Linked DNA regions of Cricetulus griseus. The protein of the gene in region 3 purifies or fractionates together with the protein of the main gene of each other region. This does not show direct contact. Links are inferred from orthologs where the notes say so. Each region holds a gene or a part of one and is shown on either strand. Other genes may lie near its edges.

Region 1 (3,715 bases), on a different chromosome or scaffold from region 3:
GACTGGTGGTAATTTGTTTTCCATTTTGATTTTTAAGGGTTACTGTACATTAATTAGAAGCCAGGCACAGTGGAATATAGCTTTAATCCAATGGCTCTGGAGGCAGAGGCAGGAGGATCTCTGAGTTCAAGGCCAGCCTGGTCTACATAGCAAGATACAGGACAGCCAGGGTTTATATGGTGAAACCTGGTTTCAAACTTAGTATTTATTGTATCTGAAACTGCTGGCCACTTTTGCCTAAAGGACAACATTTATATATTTGATTTAGTCTAAACTCAGCACATCCTGATGATACTACCAAACACGAACTTCATTAAGAATAAGACTGGGTCAGACTGAACGTCTAAAAAAGGAATGATAACCGAAGTAGTAACCAAATTGCCTCCTATCTTACCTAGACTGGTGGGTTTGATCAGCTCATCCAACAGGTCATAGAATGGTAGCTTTTGTAGCTTTATATCCGGATGGACTGGGTGCAGCGCTGATGTGAGATGTGGGAGTTCCAGTTCATGTTTAGGTCCCAGAAGAGAAACAGGGAGTAGAGGGGATGATGCAGGGTGACCATCATAGGTGAGCTGTGGAATGGTAGATGGAGACAGAGTCGCTGGCATAGGACTTGAATGTACGTTGGGGATAGACAAGTCCGCAGGTGTCATAATTTTCTGAGGGAACCGCCGCCTGTAGAGTTCTTTAATTTTCATTTGTACTGCAGGACTACAGCCAGCCTTTAACAAATGAAGGGCTTTTGTAAGAAGTTCGTGTTTGCGTCCGTGCTTGTTCCTCCCAGCGTAGCCCAACAGAACTTGGAGTTCAGAAACTCTAAGGCTCATAACCATTTGCTTAGAGAAAAAAGTAAAATGTAAAATATTAGTGTCTGAAACCATAATTTACAATTCTAATTTTTATTTAGCCTTTTCATATGATTTGCTTAAATGCCAGCTTATTTAACTCATTACTATCCCAAGTCAAGATTAACCAATTAATAAAGAAACTTTAAAAGTAATATGCATATTATAAAAGACACAGGATCAAGTTTACACTATGCAGGACCACATCTCACTTTATCCTACCATTTAGTGACATTAGCAAGCACTTACAAATTCTCCAGAAGCACAGACTTGGGATGGAAGAGTAGTAATGTGCCCTCAAGAGCATTCCTATCTTCTTAGGGAAAAAACTTTAAGTACACTGAAACCAAACATCCCACCTCAAACCCTAGACACATTATCAAGTACTAGTCTTATACTAACTCTGGAATTCAAGGAACAATCACTATTTTCCTGAGGACTATCTCTTATGTCTTTGCTGTTATATAGCTAGCTAGCAGTTCTATCAGATGCTAAAGCTCTTGATTCCCACTTAGACATCAAGAATTCCACCTTTACACTGCAATACATGAAGCTAAAAGACAGAAATCTACTTACCTTCATTAATCCTGGGTTCACAATTTATTTCATCACTGTTTCTACCCCTCCACCCTGCCCCTTCTAAGAACAACAGGAAATGGAAATCTAATCAGAACCTTCCATTTTAAAGCAACAGAAAGGGAACCAAAGAGGAAGGACTGACTCTGACCACACTACTACTTATGGAAGAAGCCCTGTCTCTGACAGGAATGTCAGAATGAACACACACCTGCAAGCTTCCCATTCATTAAATCCTCCATTTCCTAAACTTCTGGATTCTCTGGCCTCATACCAAATACACACAGTAGCTGCACTGCCTCTCTACCTTCCTGTAGGGCTATAAATACCCTTTCTCAACAAACCCATTAGAACAGTGGTTCTCAACCCTTTAGTACAGTTCCTCATGTTGTGGTAACCACAATCATAAATTTTCTTTGCTACTTCATAACTGTAATTTTGCTAATGTCATGAAACATGATGTAAATATCTGTGTTTTCTGACGGTCTTAGGTGACCCCTGTGAAAAGTTCATTGGACCACCCAGTGGACTGCTGCACTAGAGAGTCCTTTCAGGTAGCAGAACAACCCCCCAAAATGACCAATGAATGAAGCACTCTGATGCAATATAGCTGGCTAGTCAAAGCTGTCAGTTGCTCTACTGTTTCCTACCTTCAGGTCCAGCTTCACCAGTCTGTTCCAGAAGATTGGAACTGTTTTACTATCTATCTCTATCAGCCTTTTCTTGGCTATTTATTTTTCACACTTATCCTGCTGCATTGTCATTTCTATCCATACAGTGATTCCTTGCCTAGACTGAGGTGCTCCAGGGCTGATGACCACTCTAGACAGAGGTTTTCTGGAGCACATGACCATTTTATCTTCAGCATCTAGAACCAGAGTTTGTTATCAACTATGTGGACAGTGAAGGAATGAACAAGAAAAGTATGCCAGAAGGACTGGAGGTGGAGTACGAAGAGATAAATCATTCAAATCAATGCCCAAATTATTGTCCTGTACAGAGGCATACAAAGGTGTAACACAGATCATATTATTTCATAATAATCTTCTGTTTTTAATGAAATAAGACCAAACATAAAGGATTAGTAATTAAAAACAAATTGGAATTGGCTGGTCTTTTCTACTGCTGTGATAAAACACCATGACCAAGACAACTTACAGAAGGAAGGGTTTATTTAGGCTTATAGTTCAGAGGGATAAGATTCCATCCATCATGGCAGGGAATTCTGACTGCAGACAGCAGGAACATATGAGAGCTCACATCTCAAAATGTAAGCAGGAAGCAGAGAGAGAAAAACCAAAATGGAATGGGGCTTTAAACTCTCAAAACCCACTTCCGGTGACATGCTTCCTCTAGCAAGCACACTTCCTAAACCTAGCCAAGCAATGCAGCCAACTGGGAACCAAGTATTCAAACATCTCAGCCTATGGGGAACAGTCTCATTCAATCATCACACTGTCTTAGTTTCTTTTCCTGTTCTTGTTTTAAAAATGCTCTGACAAAAGCAACTTAAGGGAAAGGGTCTATACTGGCTCAGAATTCAAGGGTAAAATCCATTATGGTGGGGAAGATGTCAGGAGCTTAAAGAAGCTGGCCACATCACATTCATAATTGAAAAAAGAGAGTAATGAATGCATCAGTTCCCTTTCTCCATTTATAAAATCCAGGACCCACAACTGGCATTAACAGCCAGGAAATGTTGTTGCCCACAGAGGGCAGGTCTTCCCACATCAATTTAAAAAAAAAAAATCAAGATGCTCTCCACAGGCATGTCCAGAGGCCCATCTCCCAGGTGATTCTAGACTCTTGTCAATTAACACTAGCAGTCACATAGGCAAATGTGTTTGTTCTAAAGGCGGGGAGGGGCAGCATTAAATTTTAAAGATAAATATCTTTCCTTTTAATTCAACTCCATTCTCTAAGATGCAAACAAAAACAGCAATTCAGTAATTACGACAAATTTCAGTGATGGTAACCTTTGTCATCAGTTGTGAGAACAAGATTAAATGTAGCACAGATGTATTATTGTTGCATTTCTATGAAACACACACTGACAATTTATATAAAATAAAGTCCCTTGTGTGAAGGATCAAAGAAAAGGTTAAATGACAAAATAAACTTGACAGCTGTCAATTACATTTTGACTGCCTCAAAAAAGACAAAGCAAACAATAGCAACCGTTAAAAAGAATACTTAAATAGAATGCACTCAAAAGACAGCTGTTATTAATGAGTCAAGGTTTCTAGTTTGAGAGGGGGGGGGAGGATTTATCATTGTTACATTTTTGAGAC
Region 2 (3,715 bases), about 240 Mb from region 3:
AGAAGGGCTTCCCCTTGGATTCTTCCAAAACTGTCCTGCTCTGCCATTTCTCCCTGCCGCTCTCTTCTCTGTGTCTGACTTTGTTATCTTTCTCTGCCTTTATATGTTTTTCGATTTCTTTCTCTCCATCCTGTTTTCTCTTAGGTTCAGGCTGCCAACTCAAAACAAGTAGCAGCAACGGTCTCACCCTCAGGGTGGCTTTGGGATGCTTGGAAGCACAGCCATGATCCTCTGGATGCTATTGGGCAAATAGAAGGTGCTAACACAGCCATGATCCTCTGGATGCTATTAGGCAAATAGAAGGTGTTAACAGCTGTGGTCCTCTGGATGCTACTGAGCACATAGAAGGTGTTAACACAGCCATGGTCCTCTGGATGCTACTTGGCATATAGAAGGTGTGGTAACCAGTCTCCATCTTCCCCAGAAAAAAAACAAAAAAAAAATGCAAAATAAATGAGAAGTTAGCACAAACATGGTTTCATTGTCTTGTCCCCAGTCTTCTTATTAATTAAGAATTAGATGTGAAGGGCCCAGCAAGGTGGATCAGCTAATAAAGGTACTTTCTGCCAGCCAAGCCTGAAAACCTGAGTTTAAAGCCTAGTAAATAAAGAGAAAGGACTTCTGCAAAATTGTCCTCTGACTTTTATACATACATCTTGGCTTGTGTGCCCCCCATAAATAAATAAATAAATGTTTAAAAATAAACTTTGGGAATTGAGATGCCAGAACTTTACATGAACATTCTGAGTCTTTATGAGTCTATTGAGAAGTAACTATTCTAGATAGCTCAGTGTAACCATTAGAAAATTGACTGTTCCATACATGTACTGGATAGTCCCCAGATTTTATTTCATAAAGATCAAGCTTAATTTACTTGTAACCTTCATGCAGTAAATTCTGTTGGCCCCACCTCTTTTGCAGATAGCTGATCTTGGTGTGGCTTCCTTTAAGACATGGAGTATACTGACTAAAGAGAAACACAACAAGCAGAAGGAAGTGAACAGCATCTCTAAGAATGGAGGCACCCTCTACTACATGGCGCCTGAACACCTGAGTGACATCAATGCAAAGCCCACAGAGAAGTCAGATGTGTACAGTTTTGGCATTGTACTTTGGGCAATATTTGCAAATAAGGAGCCCTACGAGAGTAAGACAATTTTAGATGTGGGATTTTGATAGAAATCAAAATGTTACATGAGGGTTGGTGAGATGGCTCAGCATGTAAAAGCATTTACCACCAACCCTGACAACCTGAATTCAATCCAAACTCCAGGACTTACATGGAGAAGGAGAGAAGTGACTTCCAAAAATTTGTCTTCTGTCTTCCATATATGCACTGTGGCACCCAGATATATCTCCTCTCTCTTTCTTCCCCTCTCTCCTCCTCTCCCTGACTTCCTGCCTCGCCCCCCCCACACACACACACTAATTTTTTAAATGTAATAATTTTTTAAAACTTTTACATAAAATAGTGGCCTTCAGTGAATTCTGTTAAAAATCCATGATTATTTCTTAAAGGCTGGCTCTGCATCTGATTTATTCACTGCTAGTATCTTTAGCACGCACGCGCGCACACACACACACACACACACACACACACTCACACACACACACACGCACGCACGCACGCACGCGCACACACACACACACACACACACACACACACACACACACACACACACACACACACACACAATGCCTGGATGTAATCAGGAGACTCTTGTTTAATTAGTCATCCCAGTTTAGGATAAACTCATCAGGTGGATTGACCCTTTTATCTTTACAGCTTGGGAGTTGCTGTAAAACTCCAGGATTGCTCCTGGAGTAGGGATGGCCTTTCATACTACTAGGCATGTATCCCGTACTTGATTCTATTTGTGAATGAACCTTTTTCGTTACCTACTGTGAACACTCCAGTCAGTTGAGAATATAAAGGTGAATAAGTCTTTGTGAAGAGGCACAGTCATCCTTGGGTTTGGTTAAGCATGGAAAGGAGTGGCTCCTTTCTATAAACAAAGATTATCAACACCAGTAGATTAGGGATCATCAGCTCTGCTGATGCCTCTTAAATCTTAGTCTCTGACCATGACCAAGACATCCACTAGCCTATTAGACCCAACACATATACCTCAGGAACCTCCAAAGCGGCACCCCAACAAGCTCCCAAGTTTACCACCACTCTTCCATAGCTCCCTGTGCTCACCACCCGTACTGAGTTGCACAATAAGCAGCTTCACCTGAGACTCAACATTGTCTCCCTCTCCCACATCCAATAAAACCTCAAAACCTGAATTCAGCAACTAGGGATAGAACTCGGTGTTACAGCACTTGTCTAGCATCTTGTAGAGGCCTGGTTCAAGCCCTAGCACTGCCTGAAAAACAAACAAACATGAATTCTGTGAACATCTCTCCACTAGCTTCCTTATTTCTGCTGCAGGATCCTTGAGCCTTCCACAATCAGAAAGCAGCCAAGATAGTCATCTTAAAAGGCAGACGGGACAGGGTGAAGAGCTGGTTCTATGGTTAAGAGGCTGTTCACAGCTGTCTGTAATTCCAGTCCCAGGGTATCTGACATCCTTTTCTGGCTCTATGGGCATTGGATACATGTGATGCACAGACATAGTGCAGGCAAAACACCCATACACATAAAATAAAAATCAAGGAAATAAAAAGTTTTTAAGGCAGAGAGGATCATCTTGGCTATTTAAAATCCTTGAAAGACTCCCATAGCCTTCAAGTTTCCCAGTGTAAAGTATGAGGCCATTTCTGGTTCCACCCTGGCTTCTCTCCACCCTCCTCTCTGTCTTTGCCTCACGTCAGTGTGCCCACTTACACTGGGCACAGGTCACTGGTGCATATGATTTCTGTCATTCCCACCCTATCAGTTTCCTGCTGCCCTAGCTTGGAGTCTCCCTCAGGAGTCCTCCTTCCTGGTCCTTTACCTTGATAACACCTCCTTTTCTGACTCAGGAAAATCTTCTCAGACATTCTGTTCTCCACCATATTTGCTACTTGAGTGTCAGTTGTCAGTGTGTATTTTAAGTCACTCTCATTAAATTGAGCTTCTTAAAGCCCAGACCATCCTGGTTTTGCCTCTGTATTGAACTCTGGGGAATGCCCTGACTTTACCCATGGATTTTGTTTGTTGTGAAAAAGTAGCTTGGTTTTGAATTTTGTCTCTCATCTGCAAAAGTCAAAACCTCATTCTGTCATCTCTACAATAGACTCTGATAACTCCTTGTCACAGGCTATTGCTCTATGGAGTGAGATGAGACAGCCATGGGAAAAGCATATACTAGGTAGAGACAAAATAGCGGTAGGTATTGTTCATGTCCTGTCATCTTCCTTCCTGAGAGTAGAGTAGGACCGAGAACCCCAACTGAAGCTTATCCCTCTTTGCAGACGCCATCTGTGCTGAGCAGCTCTTGATTTGCATAAACTCTGGGAACAGGCCAAATGTGGAGGACATCATTGAGCACTGCCCAAGAGAGATCATCAGCCTCATGGAGCGGTGTTGGCAAGCAGCCCCAGAGGACCGGCCAACATTCCCTGGTAAGAGCAGGTTGTGTGCCTTTCAGGATGCATCCCATATGGTGACACTTCAGTAAAGTGAGACTGGTAGTTTAGTTACTTTTCCTATAGCTGTGACAAAATACAGGACAAAAGCAGCTTGAGGGATGGGCTCCACCCATTGGTCCAGATCTCGTCAGTGGCT
Region 3 (3,715 bases):
TACATTTCCATTCCACCCATCCTATTTATGTGCTTTCGGTCTCTGTAGATTTGCATGCATGTCTATGTATGGCTATGTGTTTGTATGAGTGCAGATGTTTATGAGGGTGTACATGTACATATGTGCCCATGGAAGCCAAAGGTCAACCTCAGTCGCCATTCCTCAATGACAGTCATCTCCTTTGTTTTGAGAAAGGCTCTCTCATTGGCCTGAAACTTATTGATTAGGCTAAGCTGCTGGAATCACAAAACCCAACTCTTATTAAATGTGGGTTATGGTGCTTATACTCGGGTCTCCATGCTTGTATAACAGGTGTTTTACTGATGAAATATTTCCCCAACACTAGCATTACGTTTTTGAATGTTATCAGTGTTATAGGGTGTTTCATTCCTGTTGGACCTTTTGAGAAAGAGTCTTGCTGTGTAGCCCAAGCTGACTCTCACCCTACCCTGTTTTGGAATTACTCTAGTACCTAGTCTTTTTCTTTTGTTTACTACTGAGTGTTTCATTCACCAGTATGACCTTTTGTATTTGTTCTTTTGGCTTTTAAGTACTGAGATTAGAAACTTACTTTGTTTTTCCTAGTTTTTTAAGTTAGCAGACAAAATGGTGGGTTTTGTTATGGCATTTTTATGCATGTATATTCACCATAGTTTTTCTTATTTCTACCTCTTCCATTTTGCCCTTCTTTGTTGGTCTTTCTCTCCCCAAACAGTCTTCCCTTTTGCTTCCTTGCTAACCAACCCCATTACCCTCTTCCCACACCTGCTCTGTTTGTTCCTTTGGGTCTGCTGATCACTTTTTACTTTGACTCCATATATCTTTTTACTAACCCTTTGCCCCACATCTATAAATTAGATGTGAATGCACAGTGACTTTGTTCAGTACATTTCAAAGAAGGAAATCTGGCACTTAAGTATTTGTAAAATCTAGAGTTTTCAAGAATCTTTGCATTTTAATTGTTTCTTTTTTTCAGAGAGGCTGTGATAGCTACATGGTTTATTTGTTTGATAAAAGTAAGACTGTGTATGAAGGACCATTTGCATCCAGAAGTTTGTCTGATTGTGTAAATTATATTGGTAAGTAGAGTCCAGTTAGTGGCTGAACTTTAATCTTGAAATTACATGATTAGTAAATATGATCTTTTTAGTGGTTTTGTTCAGTATCTCCTATTTGAGATTTCTATATGTGGCGAAAATGGATTTAATGTAGTTTGGAAGGTGTAAAGGTAGATTTTAAATTACCACTAGACTCTTCTCTTGGGAGGAGATTTCCCTTCCTGAGGATAGGGCTCCATAGATAGAAGAATGAAAGCCCACTGTGCACTGTGCCTGCTTTTTTTAATTGTTCCTTCGTTAGGTGTGTTCAGATATTTACACACAGCTTTGCCTGTAAATTTCATAAATCTGAGCTGGTGTTTAGAAACAGAAAAGACTGGTGGACTGTGGAGGAGAAGGAACTTGAACCAAAGCTTTTAGAAGTAAAGAATTTGGATTAGCAGAAAGAAAATGAATATTCTTGACTTCTTGACTGGAGAGAAGCAAATTTAAAAGAAAAACATACAGAAATAATGAAGTAGTTATGTTATTCAGACACACAACTCTCATATCTAGAGCCAGGCAGTAGATTCTTTTTAACATCTATGGGAATAGTTTTTGGAAAAGACGTCACAAAGAATGAACTATAGTGTCTGAAAGTGGCTTACCTCCCTTATTACCATTTTACTTATAGTTCAAGACAGCAAGATACAGCTTCCAATTGTACAGCTGCGTAAAGTATGGGCTGAAGCAGTGCACTATGTATCTGGACTAAAAGAAGATTACAGCAGGCTCTTTCAGGGACAAAGAGCGGCAATGTAAGTGGGTTCTGGTTGTTTTTTTAGCATAACACCACTTGTATCATGTACTCAAGAATTATTCTTGCCAGTTTTCCCTGAGAATTGTGTAGAAGGCTAAAATATTGAACATATTTTGAAGTGTACTGTTTTTAATAATGTGTTTATGAGCATGTGAATGGATGCACACGTGGAAGCCAGGGTTGATGTTGGCTATATTTCCCTTATTGTTTTCTCACCTAAGTTTGGAGGCAAGATCTCTTACTAACCCTGGAGCTTACTGTTTCAGCTAGACTGAATGGCCCATGGGCTCCTCTGTTTGCCTGTTTCCCCATGCCTCCAAGCACTCACTTGCCATGCACTAAGCTGAGGTCCTCGTGCATGCAAAGCAAGCACTTTGCCCACTGGGCCATCACTCTGACTCCATTGAGATGCAGTGTTCTGACCAGACTTAAGATTTCTTATTAATGGTCTGAAATCATTCAGCTGTAATGTCTTGAAAATTCTAGTTCCTGAGTGGCCTTAGCTGAAGAAGGTTGTTTATCACAGACCTCACAGTCTGGAAATAGGTCAGCTGTTTCTCAGGATTTGATAATAGAAACTTAGGTTTTGGAGTTTGGATACTGTATGTTTGCAAATTGTTATTCAATGTTTCTGAATGTTGATAATTTTGTTTTGTTTTGCTATGGCTTAGGTTAAGTCTTCTTAGATATAATGCTAACTTGACAAAAATGAAGAATACTTTGATCTCAGCATCACAGCAACTCAAAGCTAAATTGGAGTTTTTTCACAAAAGCATTCAGCTTGACTTGGAGAGATATAGTGAGCAGATGACTTACGGGATATGTAAGTGTCTGGCTATAATGTATTTGTAAGGAATGTCTAGTCTTTTGAAACCATCTGCTCTCTTATCTTGTTGACACATAGCCAGTAATTTAAATTCACAGCAGACCAACATACAGAAAAACTTGTCAAATGTTTTTGTTTTGAGGGTTAGCTCTTTTAATCCCTTAGTTAAGCAACTTATTTCATAATTATTGTAAAAGTATGTAACTCTAGAAAAGCTAAATAATACAGAAGTGACCTTAAGACTGAATTTCAAGTCTTATTTTAAAATGTATAGAGTCTATATTGAGGTGACTTCCTAGCCAATACTGTGTACTGAAATGTGTGCTTCCCCTAGTTGGTATGCTGAAATCCTGATCCTTTTGATAATGGTAAGACCCTTGGGAAAGGATTAAGTCATGATGGGACCTTACTAGAGGCCTGAGTCACATTCCCTCACCCTTTCTGTCATAAGGGGACACAGAAGGCAGTGTGAACCACTGCCTATGAACCAGAACTTGATCTTGGCTTTCTCAGATTTCAAAATTTGCCACCTAGGGTATTTTTGTTTTGTTTTGTTTTGTTTTGCTTTGTTTTCTGATTTTGTTCTTGTAGTGTAGCAGCTCAAGTGGAATAACACAGCCAGGGGAGTCTTAAATTATTTGTTTTGTTTGTTTTTTTGTTTTCCCTTAATCCATCTGCTGTGGAGTTCTACCTACTGTTTTCTTATTATACACAGTGTCCTGACTCCAACCTTATCCCCTTTTGGATGTGTTAAGGATTTGTAAAGAGTTAAAATCCAAATAAACGGAATTGTTTACTTCATGACACATATCTTTTAGAAGAAGTAGATACTGTTTATTATGTACTTGACAAAAGTTTGGATATCTCAGAATAAGTGACCAGAAGTGTCCAGTTAGTGAATATATTTATTCTCTAGTGTTATTTCTGTGTTTACATATTATAGGCATAATTATTTCATTAGAGCATCTTTGACTTGTCAGAGGCATACTGTACAGCCATTAACTTGACGGAAGAGATCTAGATGTGCTGATA
Region 4 (3,715 bases), on a different chromosome or scaffold from region 3:
CACTCCAGACTGCAGTCCGAGGACAGCCCCACAGTCTGTTATTGGTAACCCTCATGGCTAGGCATGCTGCTACTTATCACTGTCAAACTCAACCACACCTACAAAACCAGCTGAGCCTTTGACCAGTCCCAGGCAGAACTGGGCTGTCACAATGTGACACAGAGAACAAGGACATAGATTCTCAAGCTCCACGCTCTCAAAGATAGTTTCACAATATCCTCAACTTTATAACCCTCACCAATCCTGGCACTCCAGCTAAGGCGATCACAAGACCCAGGGCAAAGGACTACCAATGGTCTTCCCAGGAAACAATACAGAAATGGTTCCCAGGATGTCTTAGGCTCCTAGAACTGGGAACCTTCTTCTCAGTCTACCCAAGAGTTCCCAGTGAATGTCCTTGAGTGCCTGTTTAGTCCCCATTAAAGGGACCCTGGTCAACCCACCCTCTAAACCAGGTCCAGTCACCACATGCTGGAACCTTCAGCCTTACAGCAAGGGCTCCCTGGCCCAGCCAGAGCTGGCCACTGGCCAGCTCTAGAGGAGGTGACTCAAAGCTAGCACTGCCCAGCACCCCAGGACAAAACCTGCTGGCCTGCCTAGCCATCTCACTCAACCCAAATGGCCGAGACACTTACGTGCCACTGAGAAGTTGTTGAGGGGGGACTCTCGATGCTCCACGTCCTGAGGCCGTTCCTTGTAGCCAATAAAGGTGCCGTCATTCTTGAGGAGGAAGTAGCGTGGCCGCCAGGTTTTAATGTATTCCCCTGCGGGGGGGGGGGGGCATAAGGAGCTGCATGTGAACAACACTGCAGTGGCCCTGACACCTGAGAGGACCTAGGCACATAGAGGTAGGGAAGGGATCTGGGCCACTTCCTTCCCAGAAGGCACTGGCACTGGGGCAGAGCTCCAGTGCATGTTGCTGGGAGCATCTTCCAGGGCTCTGCCTGTGCAGCAGAGTCAAGAGGTGCCATGGCTGGAACGAGTGTGCGCGTGTGTGTGTGTGCGCGCGTGCGCACGTGTGTGTCCTAGCTGAGACCTGTGCTGTGTCCAGCTGAGTCCTGCCCTGGTCACCCAGGTACACAGGAACATTGTTCCCTCCTCCAGTTTTGCAGCATCAGCCAGAAGCAGGCACCACACTCAGACATCAGAGCAGATGTCCTCTGTGATCTCCCAGCGACTGTCATTTTTCATACTGACACCCGGAAAAAATGTTTCATTTACATTTTGCCGAGCAAGGAGTCTGAACAACAGGGAGCTAACTAATTAGGCAACTTCTTCATCTGAGGGGACACTAGACTGAGGACAGGAGGGGCAGCCCACAGGGCTGGGGTCCCTGAGCTCTATCTGAGATGAACTTTGCTTGTCCCACTGAGTCCTGAGCAAGAGCACCTAGAGGGGTATGCAGGGAGCAACTGTTTGGACCAGGCCACCTGCCACCAGGTGCTCCAGGATGCAGACCAAGTCACAAGGACAAACACCCTGGTCTCAGGCACCAGGCAGTGCACCTAACGCATTTTCCACAGCCCCAGGGAGGCTAGCTAGCTTTCCTTCTCTACCCTCTCATGGTATGTACTAAATCCAGGTGTTCTCTGAGAACACGTGCAGGTGAGATACAGTCTACCCAGTATAGTTCACCAGCTCAGACTCTCAGGGCCTTCCAGGGTACACGAAGTAGGGGCTCTGGGCAGTATATTGCCAGACTCCTCACATGACCTACCTCCCCCGACTCCACCGTCTAGTCCCTTTCAATTGACACCCTGGAGGCATTTCCGACACCAGCCTTGCTCTGCATGACCCTACACAGCCCTGCATGAATCAGGATAAGAGAAAGCCTAAGTGACGGACAAAGGCTCTTGGTGAGAGAAGAAGTGATAGAGCCACTACCAGGCCAACACCCCACACACACTCCAGGGAGCTGGTAGCTATTAGAGCTAGGGATCCTGTCCCCTCGTCACTGCAGATCTCCTAAGCCTGCCATCAGCACTGACAAAGACCCCAGCCTCACAATGGAGAGGGGCAGCAAAGAGAGCAAGCTCGAGCTCCTCCCGACTCCATTGCATGTGCCCAAATGTGCCTGGTGGTCCTCCAGGGCCTAGGCTAGATTATTCTGCTTCTCTCCAAAGGCCTACAGTCCGTAAGTAGCTGGAACTAGGACACCTGGAAACCCATTCCTGCCTCCCATCTTTAGTTCCCAGAAGCTCAGCTCCCCAGCCGGCCACTTCCCACAGCCACTGGGGGCTTCAAAGCAATGACCAATGCCAACCCTCCCTCACTCAGGAGGGCCTAAGGCTCAGCAACCTGCCTACACAACAAAAACACAGAACAGGGTTCCCATCCAGGTTTTCGAAGACCCCTGAACCCCTGCAGGCACCAGCCTGGCTTCTGACCAGGTGGCACACACCTGCAGTATTCACATGGCCAGTGGCCCCATGACAGCCCCTCCCCTGGCATAGGGCCTCGAAGGCTCAGTGGGCAGGCAGGGGCCCTGGGTAATATAGCAGAGCCAATGGGGGGTGAGCAGCCCCCCCACCCCGTTCCTCCCTAGGCCCCCGCTGTGCACGCCCACCCGCCAGCACCAGTCTGGAGCTGTCGGCCCCTGATGGAGTGCCTCCATCTCACCAGCTGCTGCTCCCCGGGACACTAACTGAGTACGGAGGCTGATGAGCAACACACTCGCACCCCAGAAATCCATCTTGATTTACCAACTGCTGCCCACCCCACTGTGCCCAGTGCAGGCCCCCAGACAAGACCACCACCCTATCTACAACTGGCTCTTAGCCTGCATGACCAGCCCCTAGGCCAGGCAGATTCCAGAATGTGGACCTGGAGGTACAGGCAGGGACACTCACCAGGCAGAGAAAGCCAAGTACCCAGAAGGGCCTAGGTGCCCTTCCCCTCCCTGGCCTCACAGAGGCCTCCTGGCCAAGGAGAAATGTAAAGTGAAGTGACCTCATCAGGTCTTTCCCGGTGGCGGCCTCTTCCAGAGGAAAGGGAGCCACAGTTCTGACACACAGATCTCTTTCTTCATCTCCGGCCTCAAGGTCTAGCCAAATGGTCACTGGGGGTACCAGCTAAGCCAGCTGCAGCCTAGGATGTGGCCTGCATGTTAATGAGTTCAGTCCAGACAGACCCCAAGCCCCACCCCTCCAAAAGAACTGTGCCAACACATGACAGACAAATACAAGAGGTGGCTACACTGGTCCTTCATGGCCACGTGGTATCTAGGAATACCCCTGCCCCCTTCTGGGGCCTCCCTCCAGCTTTTCACACTCCAACAAGGAGGGACTGATACTGAGCCCCTGCAGAAGTGCTAGGCTCTGGCCCATCCAGGCTCTTCTCTACTCCCTCACCCCATCTGGATGCCTGGTACCCTGAAAACAGGTAAGGCGGAGTCCAGCTGGTGAAGCGCAGCAGCAGCTGGGGCCTTCCACCTGTCCACACAGCCTCTGGGAACACAAGTACTCACGGCCCACTAGAGGTGCTGTGCTCCACCTGGAGTTTCCTCACCAGGCCCGTGTTCACACAGACATGAACAGATGACAAATAACCAGGTGCCACCTCCACAGTGTGGTCCCCATGGTTCTTGAGGCCAGATGCCTGACAACAGCTTCTCGTTGAACAACAAAACCAGCCAACAGCAGACACCCAGGGCTAAGCCCTGCATTACAGTAGGCCTAGCTCCCCACTAAGCACATATGCAAATCCATCCAGGGGG

The links. Proteins that work in one complex are often made in the same cells at the same time.
Region 1: the proteins of Chuk (region 3) and Pias1 purify together in Homo sapiens (affinity purification with western blotting; 3 studies listed by BioGRID). This does not show direct contact. The link is inferred for Cricetulus griseus from reciprocal best matches to the Homo sapiens genes CHUK and PIAS1.
Region 2: the proteins of Chuk (region 3) and Ripk1 purify together in Homo sapiens (affinity purification with western blotting; 3 studies listed by BioGRID, with this or other methods). This does not show direct contact. The link is inferred for Cricetulus griseus from reciprocal best matches to the Homo sapiens genes CHUK and RIPK1.
Region 4: the proteins of Chuk (region 3) and Akt1 purify together in Homo sapiens (affinity purification with western blotting; 5 studies listed by BioGRID). This does not show direct contact. The link is inferred for Cricetulus griseus from reciprocal best matches to the Homo sapiens genes CHUK and AKT1.

What each region holds. Positions count from the first base shown.
Region 1 is NC_048597.1:174,449,099-174,452,813, forward strand, and holds part of Pias1 (E3 SUMO-protein ligase PIAS1), read right to left. Parts: intron 840-3,715; coding exon 395-839; intron 1-394. UniProt on the Homo sapiens protein: Functions as an E3-type small ubiquitin-like modifier (SUMO) ligase, stabilizing the interaction between UBE2I and the substrate, and as a SUMO-tethering factor. Catalyzes sumoylation of various proteins, such as CEBPB, MRE11, MTA1, PTK2 and PML.
Region 2 is NC_048596.1:253,857,536-253,861,250, forward strand, and holds part of Ripk1 (receptor-interacting serine/threonine-protein kinase 1), read left to right. Parts: intron 1-921; coding exon 922-1,147; intron 1,148-3,402; coding exon 3,403-3,552; intron 3,553-3,715. UniProt on the Homo sapiens protein: Serine-threonine kinase which is a key regulator of TNF-mediated apoptosis, necroptosis and inflammatory pathways.
Region 3 is NC_048596.1:17,462,116-17,465,830, forward strand, and holds part of Chuk (inhibitor of nuclear factor kappa-B kinase subunit alpha), read left to right. Parts: intron 1-976; coding exon 977-1,079; intron 1,080-1,731; coding exon 1,732-1,855; intron 1,856-2,528; coding exon 2,529-2,680; intron 2,681-3,715.
Region 4 is NC_048598.1:181,392,220-181,395,934, reverse strand, and holds part of Akt1 (RAC-alpha serine/threonine-protein kinase), read right to left. Parts: intron 765-3,715; coding exon 636-764; intron 1-635. UniProt on the Homo sapiens protein: AKT1 is one of 3 closely related serine/threonine-protein kinases (AKT1, AKT2 and AKT3) called the AKT kinase, and which regulate many processes including metabolism, proliferation, cell survival, growth and angiogenesis.